3 linked regions of the Arabidopsis thaliana genome follow. The protein of the gene in region 1 interacts with the protein of each later gene in a pairwise test. Each region holds a gene or a part of one and is shown on either strand. Other genes may lie near its edges.

The links. Proteins that work in one complex are often made in the same cells at the same time.
Region 2: the proteins of AT5G01160 (region 1) and HLS1 interact in a two-hybrid assay, tested with the Arabidopsis thaliana proteins (one large-scale study listed by BioGRID).
Region 3: the proteins of AT5G01160 (region 1) and HDG2 interact in a two-hybrid assay, tested with the Arabidopsis thaliana proteins (one large-scale study listed by BioGRID).

The regions. Positions count from the first base shown.
Region 1 is NC_003076.8:51,855-56,584, forward strand, and holds AT5G01160 (RING/U-box superfamily protein), read left to right. Parts: upstream 1-2,001; 5' UTR 2,002-2,342; exon of another isoform or gene 2,343-2,420; 5' UTR 2,421-2,425; coding exon 2,426-2,680; intron 2,681-2,802; coding exon 2,803-2,861; intron 2,862-3,104; coding exon 3,105-3,873; 3' UTR 3,874-4,198; downstream 4,199-4,730. Other genes in the region: AT5G01150 (hypothetical protein (DUF674)), read left to right, coding at 134-769, 854-1,585, 1,658-1,795. UniProt on the Arabidopsis thaliana protein: Probable E3 ubiquitin-protein ligase which is a subunit of the N6-methyltransferase complex, a multiprotein complex that mediates N6-methyladenosine (m6A) methylation at the 5'-[AG]GAC-3' consensus sites of some mRNAs.
Region 2 is NC_003075.7:17,656,883-17,661,407, reverse strand, and holds HLS1 (Acyl-CoA N-acyltransferases (NAT) superfamily protein), read right to left. Parts: upstream 2,815-4,525; 5' UTR 2,477-2,814; coding exon 2,315-2,476; intron 2,027-2,314; exon of another isoform or gene 1,974-2,026; coding exon 1,798-1,973; intron 1,718-1,797; coding exon 844-1,717; 3' UTR 530-843; downstream 1-529. UniProt on the Arabidopsis thaliana protein: Ethylene-responsive N-acetyltransferase required for differential cell elongation in the hypocotyl. Regulates apical hook formation of dark-grown seedlings. May control differential cell growth by regulating auxin activity.
Region 3 is NC_003070.9:1,512,872-1,520,532, forward strand, and holds HDG2 (homeodomain GLABROUS 2), read right to left. Parts: upstream 6,030-7,661; 5' UTR 5,699-6,029; intron 5,356-5,698; 5' UTR 5,310-5,355; exon of another isoform or gene 4,187-5,309; 5' UTR 4,154-4,186; coding exon 3,912-4,153; intron 3,834-3,911; coding exon 3,716-3,833; intron 3,139-3,715; coding exon 2,950-3,138; intron 2,581-2,949; coding exon 2,167-2,580; intron 2,093-2,166; coding exon 1,991-2,092; intron 1,920-1,990; coding exon 1,719-1,919; intron 1,692-1,718; exon of another isoform or gene 1,654-1,691; coding exon 1,479-1,653; exon of another isoform or gene 1,395-1,478; coding exon 1,123-1,394; exon of another isoform or gene 1,050-1,122; coding exon 954-1,049; coding exon of another isoform or gene 933-953; exon of another isoform or gene 874-932; coding exon 517-873; 3' UTR 503-516; exon of another isoform or gene 429-502; intron 423-428; 3' UTR 30-422; downstream 1-29. UniProt on the Arabidopsis thaliana protein: Probable transcription factor. Involved, together with PDF2, in the regulation of flower organs development by promoting the expression of APETALA 3 (AP3) in the epidermis and internal cell layers of developing flowers.

The DNA of each region.
Region 1 (4,730 bases):
AATGTCAGACTTTAGACCCTCTTAAAATGAGAGTTGATGCTTCAGTTTCTTAACGTGTCGCTTCTGTTTCTGAGTGTTTTAGAAAAGTTTTCTCATCTATCTTGCTTTCGTCTTTCTTTCATCTATTACGCTAATGGCTAAAAGTAGTGAGGAGCCTAAGTTTTCTTTGAGACTTATTGTTGATGAAGAGAAAAACAAGGTTGTTTTGGCTGAAGCTTGTAGGGATTTTGTTGATGTACTCTTCAGCCTTCTGACACTTCCAATGGGAACCATTGTCAGATTGCTTGAGAATCATCGAAAATCTGAGCCAGTAACTCTGGGCTGTTTTAACAATCTCTATAGAAGTGTTGTGGACATGGGCAGTGATTGTTTTGAGACTGAAGCTTGTAAGCAGATGCTTGTGTATCCGAAGAGTGTGAAAGACCTCCAGTGCAAAAGGCTTAAGCTCAACATAAACCCTACTGAGGACATCAAGTGTTTTAAGTGCTCAAGTTACTGCGGCTTGTACAGTAATTTCAGCACCTCTAAATGTCGTTGCGGAAAATTTATGAACGAGGAGATTCAGTTAGAAAACGAGGAACAAGATTTAGGCCGGTTTCAAGATGATGATAATGGAGTATTTGTCAGCGGTAGGTGTTCATTCGTCTTAACCGATGACTTGGAAGTGTCAGTCAAGTCCACTGAACTTGTCTTGAATAAGCTCAAATCCTTAGGTTGTGCTGATGTTGGTAAGCTCGGTGAAAGGCTTCTTGATATTGGTGTGAAAGAGGTATGTTAGTTAGTTTATTCTTCAAGCGTTTGTGTTATCATTACTTTATTAGTTCTCTCTTACTATATCTGAATCTTGGACTAGGTACTGACTCTGCTGGGATGTATATTCTCCTCAAATGCTCCCTTAAAGGACATTTTCTTGAACAAGAAGATTACACAAGGTGCGACGAAGTTTTACAAATCGCAAAGTCCATGTTTGGAGAAAAAAGAAGATGAAGCAGAACCTGAAAAGGTAGTAACTTTGAAAGCATTTGTGAGGAAGCAGGACATGAAGATTTTATTTGTTGAATGCGGAGAGGAATTTGTTGAGCTTCTTTTCTCTTTTATTGCTGTCCCGCTTGAATCTGCATGGGAAATCTCTGGCAGCAGTATCTCCTTAGGTTGCATAGGAAACATGTGTAGAACCTTCAGGGACTTAAATGAGGAGACTCAAATGTCAACTTCCACATGCGCACTTCCGTCTTTCTATAATTTCCAGATGCAACTGCCTGGTATTATCACTCAACAACCTCCGGTGTACTACCGTTACAGGCTCTACGATTACAGGCAAATGAACTATGGTTTGACTACAAACGGTAATCGAACTACTTATTACCGCAAAGACAGAATCGTTCGGGTGGATTTGAAGGATCCCAAATCCCGTGGCAGCGATAAGTCTGCTCAGGGGTTCTTGAAGAAAGCGACAAAGTGTACTGTATTAGATGATCTGACCATTACATCTATGAACTCCTGCTCCACAGTTTGTTTACTAAAGAAGTTGCAGAGTCACGCAGACGATCTAGAGGTGCAAGTAATTAGTATCAGCAATGCAGAGGTATGTTTCTGTATACCCTTTTTGATCCTGTATTCTTGAAAGGAACTTGACTGACACTTGATTTTGAATTAGGCTTTGGATTTGTTGAGAGCTTCCTTGGTGACATCCTCTGCTTTGAGCACGACATTATGGAATTTGATTGCTAAGAAACTGAAGGAGGAGACTGATTTATGGGACACGGTTTCAAAGAAAGTGAAGGAAGAGACTTGAAGAAATAGAAAGCTAGTGAGAATGAACTCTAAGTCGATTGTTGATTATGTTTTTAGAATTCCGCAAAATCTACATTACATTCCTCATGTTTTCTTCCAAGCCTTATCTTTCTTTGTAAGACTAATCAAATTATTGTTTTATGGAAATTCATCTTAATAGGGTTTTTTAAATGCAGGCAAAAACTTGCACATCTTTTTGAGTTTATAAAGCAACAAGCCTAAAATCTGGAATTTCCTAGTACGATAAGACTGAAATATACAACCATTACCAAAAAAAATGCATCCATATACAAAAGTTTATAATAAGATCCAGTTGGTATATAGTAATTGGGAATGTTGAAGACATATGAAGTGTTGATCAGAAAAAAATAAGACTTGAAGTTAATTAATGGAAACCCTCTTTCTCAGCCAGAAGACTTGAAGGCTTCTATTCTCCTCCGTTGCCCACAAAAACAAAATTTGCTTCGCCGTTTTCGGCTCCGGCGTGATTCTTGAGAAGAACTGAAGTAGAGAGAGAGATCTGAAATCTCAATCTCCGATTTAACTTGGTAACTAGAGAAGCTTTTGATTCCTATTCTTTCTTTTGATTTGTATTTCTTAGGGTTCCGTTCATGTAACTTTTACAGCGACAATGCTTCAAATTCGTCTTCGGAGGGATTCCCCGACGGAAACTGGAAATGGTGCGAGGCCTTCTCCGACGGAGACGGTTACTGTAGCCTGTCCCGACCATCTCGTCCTCGCCGATCTTCCTGTTGCGAAAGGAATCGGTTCCGTGACTCCCACCACCGTAATCAAGCCCGTCGGTCGTCGTTCTCGCCGTCAGCTAGGCGAGAGAGTTCACTTCTGCGTTCGTTGCGATTTTCCGATTGCAATCTATGGTCGTCTGGTAAAAAACTTCGCTTCCTTCATTGGTTTATGGCTATATTGATTTGCCTTAAAGAGTTTTTTTAAGGGGGCTCTTCTTCTATATGTGATTGAAACTTTTTTTGTTTTGTTTTGGTTTTGCAGATTCCTTGTGATCATGCCTTTTGCCTTGAATGTGCTCGCAGTGATTCCATCTGCTATCTGTAACCATCTTTAACTCTCATCGAATTTCATTAGAAGCTTTGATAGAGATACTTTAGATTGTTTGGTAATCTACAGAGACGCAGGATTATCATAGTTTGAACTAGGCTTCGAATTTCATTAGAAGCTTTGATAGAGATATTCTAGATTGTTTAGTAATCTACAGAGACATTTTAAGATTTACTAGGCGTAGCGATTATCAGACTGAAATCTTGTTGTCTCTTGTGTGTGTGATTACTGCACAGATGTGATGAGCGGATTCAGAAGATTCAAACAATCAAGATGATGGAAGGGATCTTCATCTGTGCAGCTCCTCATTGTCTTAGGTCTTTCCTGAAGAAACTTGACTTTGAAGCCCATGTCCATGACCTCCATGGAAGCCTATTACAAGCCGATGCAGAGAAAGAAGATGGTAACCAGTCAGATGTTCAGAGCACAATGCAGCAGTCTTCAGCTTCAGAATCCACCTTGCGAGCTCCTTTAAGATCCCAGCTGCAACAATCCCGTGAACTAAACAGGTCGGCGTCATTTGCAAAGTCACAGTCTGGATTTAGTCAAGTCCAGAATTACCCTCCAGATAGCGATAACTCTCGCCCTCCTGGATTCGAAACCGCTAGTCCTAAACCAGGAATCCGGTTCCCAGACTACCCCCAGCCTATGAATCTTATGCAACCGCCCAGCTTGCCCGTTCCAATGAATCAAAACCCGGGTTTACCACAGCAGTTTGGTTTTCCTTCGTATCCAACAACAGAGAGTGGATCATCTCAACAATTCTTTAACGGTGCTCAGTACGAGATGACAAGAACAGAGAGCGGCGGATCAGAACAAAGTTCATTGCTCGGGTATCCCCCGCCTTCACCAATGACGAATCTGAATTTCCAAGGATCGTATCCTCCTCCATCATGGAATCCCGGAATGGCACCGCCTCACACGACCCAGCAGGTTAACCGGGGTAGAGACGGTCAAAGTTTTGGGTGGCCACAAGAGAACCGTGATGGCTTTGGGCAGGAGTAAGAGTAGTCTAGTTTGAATTTGTGCAATGTTAAACTCGTCGTTTGAAAGTTTCAAGTACTTTTGTTTCTAAAAACTGTGTCGTTTGTTGTTGGTCTAACATGTAATTCGAGTAAACCCAATTTCAACCGAGCCAAAACCGTGCCAAAAATTCCATCGGAAAAACCAAACTGATTTGGGTTGAACCAAAGGTTTTACACCATTTTATAGGAACAACCATCGTAGATTGCACCCACTGTGTCACTGTGATAAAGAAAGAACTAAGATTGATATTTTGGTTTTTAGCTCTTTTTCTTTACTGTTTTGGGAGGATGATGATGATGGTTATTATATGAGTTGAGATTTTTTCTAAACACCGCCGATGATCTCACTAATCTTAGGCACAGCTATGCTTACAGACAATATTTCACAGTCTCTTTATTGGGATTCCTTCACTCTACATATGTATTCACTATTCAGCACCAAGTTCAAATTTCTGTAAGCATTTATTCTCTAGCATAAACACACACGAAAATATACTATTAGCTAGTTAAGTATAAAATTATCAAATAACTTATTCATATTTGTTAGTTTTAAACTAGAAATCATGTGAATTGAACTGAACCAGTTATTGATAAGTGTGTGGCTATGAGAAATTTCGTTTCAAATGGATTCTCCAATTATGAACCATAATGATACATAACAATATTTGCAAGACACCATTATTTCACATTATGAGAATAGAAGAAAACTGAGATCTAAGACACTTTTTCCCATGTTTTCTATGAATTATTACGATCCCCATATAAATTTTCAAAATGTAAAAGCTATAATCATTGTCGTAATTTTCATGATTAATCACACCAATCATTATGACCAAC
Region 2 (4,525 bases), on another chromosome or scaffold:
CCTTATAGTATAAACAATTTCCCTGACTCGATCGGTGCTCTCGACTCGACAATACCTCTTTCGGACAAGGACACGTTCTCAAACCCGATTCAAAGGTTTCATCATGATATAGCTTTTGCTACCGCAAACCAACAAAAGAAACATATAAATCTATCAGTTGAACATCTTTGGACCATATTTGGGGGAAAAAGTGTGGTCCATGACATTGATATTCATGTCATTTACACGTAAGATTAGCGATATCAAAAGAAGTTTTTATTCTCCAATCACTATCAAATATCAATGATCAAACTCGAATTAGCAAAGTACTAAGAACCAAAATCCTCCACCTAAAAAGAACTACTAAACTAATATACATAATATTTTATTTACTCTTAAGAAAATGTGCGTCTTTCTCTTAGTTTATACTTGATGGCACACACGATAATGCTAATCGTTATTGGTAACATTTTCTATCATTGTCATAATTGTAATTTTATCTCCAAAGTATCGTCTTAACACAAATTGCATCATTATACGTATCAGTGCGTTCATGAAATTTTATCTACTTGGAAATAATAATCAGGTCGGCGTTTTGGTTTGGCCACAAAGAAAAAGTATCTTAAAAAGCTAGATCCATTTACAAGACAAGAAGACACAAACCCAAAAGTAGGAGATATTACCTCTTACCACTAATTTATAACACCCACAAAAACAAAACAAAACAAAACAAAAAGCAAAAAAAGTTACCTAAAAAAAAAGATTAATTCTAAAACAAGAAAATCTATAAACTTAGAAGAAAACCCCTAATTTAACATCAAGTGGTTAATAGAGAATATATATTATAGAGTTAAAAAAAAAGTTTTAAAATTCTCTAGGGTCTACAAAAATGGAAACGCCAGGTGGCGATTTAGTCCAATCACCAACAACACCATCACTATAGTCATCTCCAAGCCGCTTTATACACCAAAGATCCTCGTCACACGATAGCACTTTCCAATGTGGTATTCCTCGCCGCAACGGGTCTTCTCCGGCAACTTCCGCCGCCACGACACCACAACCACCTGCCTTAGCCAAGTTATGCGCGTGAGCACACAAGGATTTCACCATCTTCACCGCGCGTGGACCTTCTCCTCCGATTCCATACATAAAATGAAGTCCAAAAGGTTCGAAAACGGACGGTATCGAAGGTAGTTTCAGAAACGGCAACGTTTTATCAACTACTCGCGTCGTTTTAGCCACCACACGTCTCAATCTCGACGCTCCACGTACTTCTAACAGAAACGAGTCTTTACAATTCCACACGCTTAATACGGCCCATGACTCGGGTGGATATTCGAGGAATTTAGCCGAACCGGGCCATGATCCAGACCCGGATCCATAACAGCTTCCACGTGGCACCGCGACGAAAGTCCCAAGCGAGAGTTTGTTATTAAGTACCGAATCAATATCCCGCGGGAAAAACTCTGTTGTGCTAAACCGGATTCGGTACAACGTCTCAGCATCAACCGGCTCTAACTTGATAACCGTGACTCGCCGCGAAACATTAACTCGATGAGCGTAAACCGGGTTAACCAAAATCGACGGTGTACGAAACTCCGAATAACCACATTTCCCGGTGAACAAATTCACAGAAGCTTGATTATCGTTCTCAGTTGCAATATACGAATACTCAGCTCCGTTTTGTCTAAACCATTCCTCCATCATCTTCACGAGCTTAAACCCAATCCCTTGTCTCCTGCAAAAACCAAAACTAGTTTAGATAACCAAAATCTATAATAGCGTGTGATTATGAGTGGGAGGAAAACGGAAGGGTACCTGTGAAAAGGAGAGACGCGAAGGCCCAAGACGTAAGCGAGTTTAGTGTAAAGAGGCTTAACGACATCGTTTTGAGATTTGTGATTTAAATCGAGTTTTTGGCCACATGTAACGGTTTTGATACATCCTCTAATCATGCCCACTATCTCCTTCTTCTCCGTACCCATCTCAGCCACCTGTTACAGTCCCATAATTTAAATTTTCCGTTATTATATGTTTTTAACCTTTTATAATAAAGAGGAAACTTTATTAGTTATAGTTACTCGGGTATCATTTGGTTGCAAAAAATAATATAAATGATGAGTCTTTTGATCTTATCAAGAATCGGAAAAAAATAGAAATGATACCAAAAAAAGAACCGAACTTTAATTGTTTATGGAAAATGGGTTTTTTGGATTAACCAAAGGTTGAGAAGTTGGTGTTCTATGTTTTCTACTTCTAGGTTCAAAAAACAAACAGAGTTTTTGAAGAGACATACAAGTAAAAGAAGATAAAAGATTGTGAAACATGTTATTACCAGCATGAGATAGGAAGGTGAATGTCGGATTCTACAAATCGGGTCACCCAAAAGGTCGGTGAAAAGAGAAAGCTTGCCGCTTGGTCCGACTTCACACCGTCGTTCCACGTCCTCCACGCCGACTAAGTCTCGGGTCGGGTCGTACTCTCTAACCACCGTCATGTTTTGGTTCTTTCAGAGTGAGAACAGAAGCAGAGTAAATAGAGAGAGAGATTAGAGTTAGAAGAAGAGTTAAGTAGATAGGGTTTAATATATAGAGAGGAAGGTGAGTGTGGAAATGAGAGAAGTGAGGAAGATTTGTTCGAGAGGAAAGAGAAGCATTTATAGAAACTCTATATATATGTATAACGTGAGGTATAAGTAAAGAACAGAGAAAGCTATGAGTTTATAGGATTTGGATTTTAAAGGAAAGAGAAATAGACTTTTTATTTTATTTTTCCGGCTACTTTTTTACTATTTATGATGAGTTTTAAAAGTTGGAGAAGGCGAGTAGTTCATGATTGATAGAGCTTTAAAAGTTCTTCTTCTCAATCCTCTATTTATAGTCTCTAGTCTCTACAGTTCCCATTTTATTTTTTGTATATATGAATTTAAATATTAGCTAGTTCTAAATGATAAGGTAGAATTCTAACCAGATTTTAACTGATCATTGAATGCTTTTTTTACTTTTATGTGTTAAGAGGAAAAATAGTAAAGAATTTATATTCCTACCATATTTGCTGCTTGGAAATTGGAACAAAAATGTTTTTGCTACAAAATCGAATGATTTAAATTGTGTTGGTCACACTTTTTAGTTTACTACAAACTACACATAATGTTCAAAAAAAGAAGAAATATAAATAGATTTTGTTGAAAAAAAGAAATTTGTATGTTCTTACATGCAGTGGCGCTATCTATTTTCAAAATTTTATGTTCTGTAAAATAATGTTAATTCTCTTTTTTTTTTTTTTTTGACAGCTAATGTAAATTCTCTTTAATACAATAAATATGAAATTAAATCTCTTATAATTAGGGACATTTAAATGTTTTTCACGAATAAATACTCCTAGTAAATTTTGAAATAGTGGGCTTCAACGTATTAATGATGAGTAGAGATTAATGGTGATTAAGACGAGCATTGATGTGGAAAACTTGCCCAGAAGGAGAAGTTGTAAGTGGGAGTGAGAAGTTGAAAATGGCGGCTATGTCTGCGTTAACTCATTATTATGGTTTCTATCTCTCTTTTCGTTTTCCTCTTACTTGTACTGTATTTATTTCCCTTTCTACTACTAGTTCCCTTCCTTTGCCCATAAATTCACACTTATTAAATTCCACATCATCACTCTGATGCATTGCACCATCTCCCAAGTAATCATTTGCCCTCAACCCCATCTATATACTACATTAACTGTCTATCTACCAAATTACTAGTAAATGTAAATACAGCAGCTCTAATTTTGCAAGAGGAAAAAAAAAACAGTAACGTAAAATAAGAGTTGAGAGAGAAAGTAAATTGTGTATAATTAGTTTTTAACATTTTCCGAAAAATACAGAAAAAATATCTTACTAGAAATAACTGCAATGTTCAAATTCACTACGAGGCTAAAAAGAAGCGAAGGAATCCATTTAGAAGAAAAAAACAAATTCCTAAAGGTCATGTCTATCGTATTCCTCTTTTAAGGGTAGTTTAGTCATGCAATACATGATGATATATATGACAAATGATTATATGTACGTTTTATATATACATAAGTATATACATATATACATATACATGACACTTCATTAGGTGTGAAAGATCATCAACATAATCACCAATTAGTTAATTAAACTCAAAAGCCGAAATATCAACCGTCAGCTAATTGTTTTGTTTTAGTAAGAAAATTTGTTTTATTGTAGACGAAATTCGAATTACAATAATCTTTGTTGACAAAAAAAAACCCTTGTTTACTGGTGTAATTTGGAAACAATAAGCCTCAAGCCCTCAAATGACCTTTTAGGGTCAGAATTCTTCTCGAAGAACAATTTTCATAAATAGTTCCACTTGATATTTGATTGTGTATTAAGTGGAAACTAAGCAAGAAACACCATCACACGCACAAATATTAAACAATCATAAACACAAAAATAAACGGCACACTTGACGTGGCCCCTCAAAATATATAACATATAGTTCAGGTTGGTAGGTGATTTATTTTGTACTGATTATGACATTGTCGAGCACTATTATAT
Region 3 (7,661 bases), on another chromosome or scaffold:
CTTTCCCCTAGACAAACTCACATAAGCTTACAAAAGTACCAAAATACTTGTATAAGATATTTATACAAAAGAAAGACAAACTCCAAATTCCTGATGATGGTCCATCTAACCACAAGAAGGAAAGAAAAACAGTAACTGTAACACAAAAAGAAATCCGAAAGCATTCTTTCTAACCTAGTTTTTGTTTTTGTCTAATTCAGTATGTGACAGGGGAAGTCAAATTCCCGAACCTCGTAAAACCATCTACATATTCACTTTCAAGTAAAAAGTTTTTCACTGCTTAGTTTCATCAAATAAGCAGACCAAAACTTAACACTAACAAACACTCAATGGTATTCTCTTGTGAGGTTCGATCTTGACTCCTCCGCTTTTCTCAAACTGAAATCTCTCTCTTTTTTCCATCATCACCATTTTGTTATTTCCTGCAGAAAGAAGAAGAAAAATATGATTACATCATATAATGGCGTAAAAGCGAGAAGAATATATTTAGTGAAAGTAGTACCTAATGGATGGTTTTCAAGCAGTCTCACAAGACATTGAAGCTTTGATTCTCTCAACAGTGCAAGCTATTAGATTGTTGACAGTTGCAACAGAGCCAAGAGACAGCTTAGCCGTAGGAACTGAGTCAACCAGAATCTGAAAAGCAACAGTCAAGAGCGACCCTCCATCTCCTCCAGGGGCTCCACTATTGGCATTACCATCAGGAAGAATAGCAAAACCTGATGGAAGCAGAGCCACATAGTCTGGATCACCTCCATTAAGCACTATGTTCATAGCTACAATATCGACTGGAGCATAGATCACAAAGGAAGCTGTAGGATCAGTGCAGCTCTCTTGTAGGATCAGCATATTGCTCTGGCTAGAGTTTGCACTCTGTGACATAAAGAAAGATTGAAAACTCTTAGCTAGGATCAGATGATTATAACAATAGTTCAAAACCCGGTGTAACTCACATTTACCCGAAGAAGAGAAACACAGTTTCCGGTATCCCTCCCGTTAGCAATATGTGCCATTTCTTGCACAACTCCTCCATTAGACAGAATATCCCACTGCAAAATCTCACAAAAACATCAAAACTCTGTCCAAAACAGAACAAGAGAGCGTAGTAACTAAAATAGTTACCTCATTTCTTGAATTCTCGTCTCTGAGGAAGTCAAAGACTCGCTTTGGAGGAACAGGGATCCAAAAAGAAGTGGCTGCACTAAGAACAATACCAGGAGGCCTTCCTGGATCATCCACACTCTTCCTAGTCATCACTCTAACATCTTCAGCTCCTGTACCGGACAATGTAGTCCACGTGTGAGCGGTTGAAGCACTCACTCCTGCACAAAAGCTTATAACCATCCGCTCTGCCAATTTCAGCATACTCCTCCTCCCTTCTTGGTTGGTTATCACTGCATATTCATTAATATAGAACTGTGATTCTGACTCTGACTCTGATTATGAAAACTGTTTATGAAACAAACAGTAGGTTATACCGCCAACTTCTCCAGAGGAAATGTTTGTAGCCATGACACTAGCTAACCGCTCGCATTGGCGGTCAAGAATGGCTACCCAGCGTTTAGCACCAAAGGCATGACCAGTACTAACCATGTGTTTGTATAAGTTATGAACTCCTCTGTCATCAACTTCCACATGCTCCACCCAAGTCACCTGTTACATTAATTCTCTCTACTTAAGTAAACATTTTGTATAACCTAATGTTTTTATTATATTACCTTAGAATATCCATTTGGCAATTCTTGAATCAAACATCCTGAAGCTCGCCGCCTGCATCTAGCCGGGGGATTTGGTTGGAGACTATCCAACGAAATATCGACAACCGCCCACGAACCATCTCCTTGTTGTTTACAGTAACGTGCGAAATAGGTTTCACGTGTTGGGACTAATGGAGATGGAACTTGAAACTCTGCACTCATCTGCAAGCAAAACAGAGTGGTTATTTCAGTTTGAAATTTAATTTTTACAGAATAAAAGCAAAAAAAATTACCACTTGAAGAGCTCCATTATAGTTTCCTGCAACTCCTGTCGATAAAACCGCTAATGTCATTGCTCTAGAAACCATCCCCGCGAAAATCGTCGACCATTGATTCTGCAACATCATATCAATGTTGTTGAAACTAAACAGAGAAGATTGCTTTTAAGTAAAATGAAAATGTTAATTACCACATCCATGAGAATCTCAACGATGTTAACATGATTCATGATCACAACCGCGCTTTCTCGCGAAGCTTCTGATCTATATCCAGCCGGTCTAGGTCCGATCCCTCTAGGAAAGGTCCTTGCATATTCTTCTTCGTCTAAAACCAAACTCTTCCACAGAGGCTCGTCTACTTGAACCATCCTCATGAGCTCTTCCATTGCAGCCACGGATAAGTCGATGATGACAGGTTTGTCAGATTCTGTTGGTGCAGTGATGGACTTAAGGAGATCGTTTGGATTGTTTCCATAAGCTTCTCCTCCAATATTTCCCATGGCGAGTTCTAGTGGACGTGGAGGAAGAGGAGGAGGAGACATAAGTGGATAGTTTGAGACTGGCTTGCCTACGTATTTAGCTGCGATTGCGGATATACGGTCGATCTAAAACAGACAAATAAGAAAGATTATTGATCCTTGTGGTTTTCAAAGTTTGGTCACAAGAAGAAACGTTGAGTAATGTTGTTATTATGTACTACTACTCCTTACAGTTCCAAAAATATCGTTTTAGTATCTCAATTTAATATCATAATTTTTTCTATTCTTCAATGAAAAAAAAATGTTTAAATTCTCTAATTTCAATACAAATCTATAAAAGTTTTTATTTTATGAAGAAAGAAATGATTATTGTGAAAGCGATATAACATTAGTGGTATAAAAACAAATTCTAATTTTTTATTTTATCTTCTTGACAACATTTAAGTGTAAAACTCTTAACATTATTTGAACATTTAAAATAGTTGATTCTCATACCTCTTCCCTTAATCGAGCATTTTCGAGACGGAGTTGGTGTTCGTCGAATGACATTTCTCCGATAGCTGTTGGACCACCACAATTAGGACACGAAGCATTTGCAAGAGCCTCTCGATATCTTAGGTTGTCGTTTCGAAGCTTTTCGTTCTCCGCCCGAAGATGTGAGTTCTCATGCCGCTCGTGATGATTCTGCGCAAATAAAACTTATATTCCGGTTATCTCTAAAGTTTTATACAAGTGATTTATTTCTAATTTGGGTAAAACGAAGGAACAAAGGATTTTACTTAAAAAGAGGAAAAGTGTATGTTTCAAATAAAACACTCGTGTACACGTTATGTGTTTCACCGTATTTGCATAACGTAAGCATATGTGTCCAAAACGTTTCAATCTATAGATTATATATGGCTCTAACTAAGATAATAAATAGGCAATGTTGTTACAACCAAACAATTTTCTATAGCTTGATCCGCCAAATATATAGTTCTGCCAAAGGAACAACTTTTCAATTGAAAAAAAAAATAAGTAAGAAATTTTAAGTCAAAGTGTCTCAACTAGATCTAAAATCTGCCAAAAGTCAATGAATTCATTCTGAAAGAAAACACCAGCCACCCAAAATGTTCTTAAGTATAAAGATAAGCCCTTCAATGTATATATACAAGACTTAATATGAATGAAATAACAATTTAATTAACAAGTATATATATTTTCTCTAATATATATAGATCCATTAACTAATGTATATATGTTCATAATATAAAAAGTATACCTTCATTTGGGTACGTTTGTTTTGGAACCAGAATTTGACCTGAAGAGGTTCCAAATTCAATTCACGGCTTAGCTGTTTCCTTTGCTTGTCATCTGGGTGAGGACACTCTTTGAAGAACCTATTTAACAACCAAAACAAAAGAATTGTCAAAAAACACACAAGAAAATTGAAGTAAGTGAGTAAGTTAAACACATACGCTTCCATCTCCTGGATCTGAAGTTGGGTGTGTCGATGATATCGTTTCTTCTTGTTAGGATGAAGAGGATCTTGGTCGTTTCCTGATCCTCCTTCTTGATTCTCACTTCCCGATTTAGTATTCGGACTGTCGAATTCATCGTCCCGAAGAAATCCTTCATTATTGTTGTCTTCATGGTTGTAGTTGTGGTTATTGCTGTCTGCGTTGTTCATAGCCGCAAGCAGCATATTTGGCTCGAACATCTTTTCTTATACTCCGGAAACTGAAAGCAAACCCTAGAAGCAAAAAAAAGTAGAGAGTTTTGTCAAAATTTAGGGTTTGAAGAAGAAGGGAAATTTCTTCGAGGCTGGAAAAATATGGCAATACTTTTGTCCACGTCAACAACTTTACAACCTTCTTTTTGTATGAACAACAATAACTTAAATCTTTCTTCGGAGTCGTTTATCTTTCTTCTTGAAGATCATACAAAATGATATAAGCAAACAGAAGAATTGGAGATGATTGTAGGAAACAAAGGACCCACTAATTGAAAGCAAGAAAAAAGAGCCTTGCATAAAAAAGACATCACAATCACAAATTAATTTGTTATTGAATAACCAACCCAAAAATAATGAATTTTCACATACTCAAAATTATTCGAAACTACCGATTTTTTACCCTTTTAAAAGAAAAGAAAAAAACTAATCAGCAGACTGAAATAAAAACTATGATTGATTCAAGAGTCATATCATATGTAGTGTAGATGGAAATCAATTGTTGTCCAAAGAAAAAACTTTAAAATTTCTACACTATAATAGCTTTGATGGATGGTGATTTAATTTAAAATTTCGAGGTATTTTGATCAGTTTTGATTTAGATGGGATAGGAAAGAGAAGACGAAAAGAGAAATGTTGGACTCATTTGTTCAAAGCAAATAAAATGGGAAAAAGTAGGTACAAATAAATTCCCAACTCTATCCTGTTTATTAAAAAAACAATATTTTCGTGAGAACAAAACAAAATTTAATTAAATATAATCATTAGTAGATTTTCAAAAAATAAAAACTCTTCAGGAAAAAGTGTAAACTACTATTTGGCGATTAAGAAAGAAAAAAAAATTGAAATGAAAAAAATAGTATTATATCTGTGCACCTGTGCGACGGACCAACATATAGTTATTATACAACTTACAACCAACGTGACATAAGGCCTGGGTGATGTATTAATTTTTTCCAGCTATTTCTTATCATCATCATCGTATTTAAACGTTTTTATTACACACATTAATATGTAAATGTATACTACTACTATAAAGTATATACACGTGTTTATATATAAAACCAAACGTATAATGAAAATAAGGATATACGAAGAGAATACAAACCTTTCTGTTTTTTTTGGTAGGCAAGGGAATACTAACCTTTAATCTTTCCTCTTTATTGTTTTCTTGAAGGTTTCATCTCTGACTATGCAGAAATTGATAAGATTATTTAAAGAAGAATACAATAAATCAGAAAGTCAGAAAGCAAATTAGGAGAGGAATGAAAGATATTAGAGGCAAGAAATCAATTAATTAATGCTAAAGAAGGCAAAATTTAAGACAAAATATAGATGACTAACTGAAAATTCAACATACAGGATATATTAAATTATAAAAAAAAAACATCATGAAAGTGAGAGTTTTATAAAGATGCTAAGAAAACTGAAGTGTAATGGATCCAATGATACTTTAAACAAATAAATTTGTGTACATGAATTAATGGATAAAATAAAGAAAACAGCAGAAATGATGAGGTTTTCGAGACATACACTGGGATATAGGAAGAAGCGACGAAACCCTAGAGGGAGAGAGAGAGAAGAGTAGAGCGGTGTCTGGTCTGAGATTTGTTTCTCGGAAAACCGCTGATGGTTTTGTGAAGCGCGGTTTTGTTGGCGAGCAAAAGGTTTGAAAGGTAGGTGCAAATCTTGGAGGAAGAGAGATGAGAGAGTAATGACAGAGAGAATTGAGAGGGTGCAATGAAATTAAATGGTGCGAGAGGGACACTTAATTATCCTACACGCTTATATATATATAGAGAGAGAGAGATATGTTACAATTTATTTTATTTATGTTACAAAATTATGTGTTGTTTTTCATCTTATATACAATGTCAACCTAAAATAATTTTATTTTTTATTTATTTAAAATATTATAATGTGGTGAGGAATGACGGCTAACGGTCTATGAGCCTATGAGACTTACATTTATCTATTAGATATGTAGTTATTTTTAAAAAATCATTAGCATTATTCATAACTTATGCATATGCAATAAATCACCACTTAACAAAATTAACTATATTAAAAAAAGATTTAACTATATTGAAATTTGCTTTAATACAGTTCTCCATTTACAGAAAAAGTTAGACAATAGTCCCCATTTGTCAAGGATACAATTTTAAAAGTAATTTTCTGAAATTTTAATACTCTTAGATTATTTATAATATGGAAAAAAATTATATAGTTTTTTAACTAAAATTCAATGACTTGTTATAGTTAATATTTATCTTTATGAGATATAAATTTAATTTTTACTTTCAAAAAATATGACTATTATATTTTTAACTATTTTATTTTATTATTATTTCATATCTTTGTTATAAATTTAATTGTAAAGAAGGAAAATTTCATGATTCTTCTTCCACATGGCATTTTCTTAAATATTATAGAAGTTTAGGTTGTATTATTGTTAGTCAGACAGAAGTTGATTGAGTGATGTATTTATTTTATTTCATTTAAAAGAAGAAAATCTAAAAATCATCACCTTAATTTTGAGTTTTGTTTACGAAACAATTGTTTTTTCAATTTAAGGAAGTCAATGAAATATCACTTTTTTCACAGTAAGACTTCATTTTACATGCCTAGAAATATTAATTACTTTGTGGCCCAAGCATTTATAACTATAACGTGCAATTAAGCTATTTAAAATACGGATCACCCATTAAAAAGGTGATAATTTGTAAAAGCCATGCATTCATCTTAATTTATCACGCGAATATATAGAGAAATATACTGCGTATTTAATTACCTAGTTCTTAAGCTTTGTTTTTTTTTTTAAAGTCCTTATAGCTATAGCTTTAACACTCAAGTTTTTCTTTTCAGTAAGTTTATACTTTACCTAGATTCTTTAAAATAACTATATATAAAAAAACAATAACCCAACTTATTTCTGATTTTTACTGTATATATGTAGGTACAGATATATAGATGGAGTTATACGTACGTACGTATGCGATAGGGTGGCGAATAGTTTCGACGCATTAAATGTGTACACAGAGGCTGCATGGGCTTTAGGCCATTTACTGCTCTCATGCCTCTCTTGCACTTTAACCTCCTCTTCCTTCTTCGTACTCTCCTACTAAAAAAAACTAGTAATTCAACGCCTAACATTTTAGTTTTTTCTTTTTTTTTTTTTTTTTTTTTTAGTTTTTTCTTTTTTCCTGCTACATCACTAAAAGTTAATTATTTCAAAAAAGAATTGCTACAATACTATTCACATTTTAAGTTTGTTTCATCCTCGTAAGTCTCAAATATTTATTTTTAGTTTATTTCTTTTTTTTGTCAAACTTTTAGTTTATTTCAATTAGTGTTTTTTCTGCCAATATGATCAAATCTGAGATTCAAAATGGAATTCTTCTGTTGAAAAAATGGATGCTTTTGTAATAAATTCAAGATCGTAGTTTTTTTTTGTTTCTGGGCTTCGTATATGGGCCATAAGACGGAAGTAAACTTT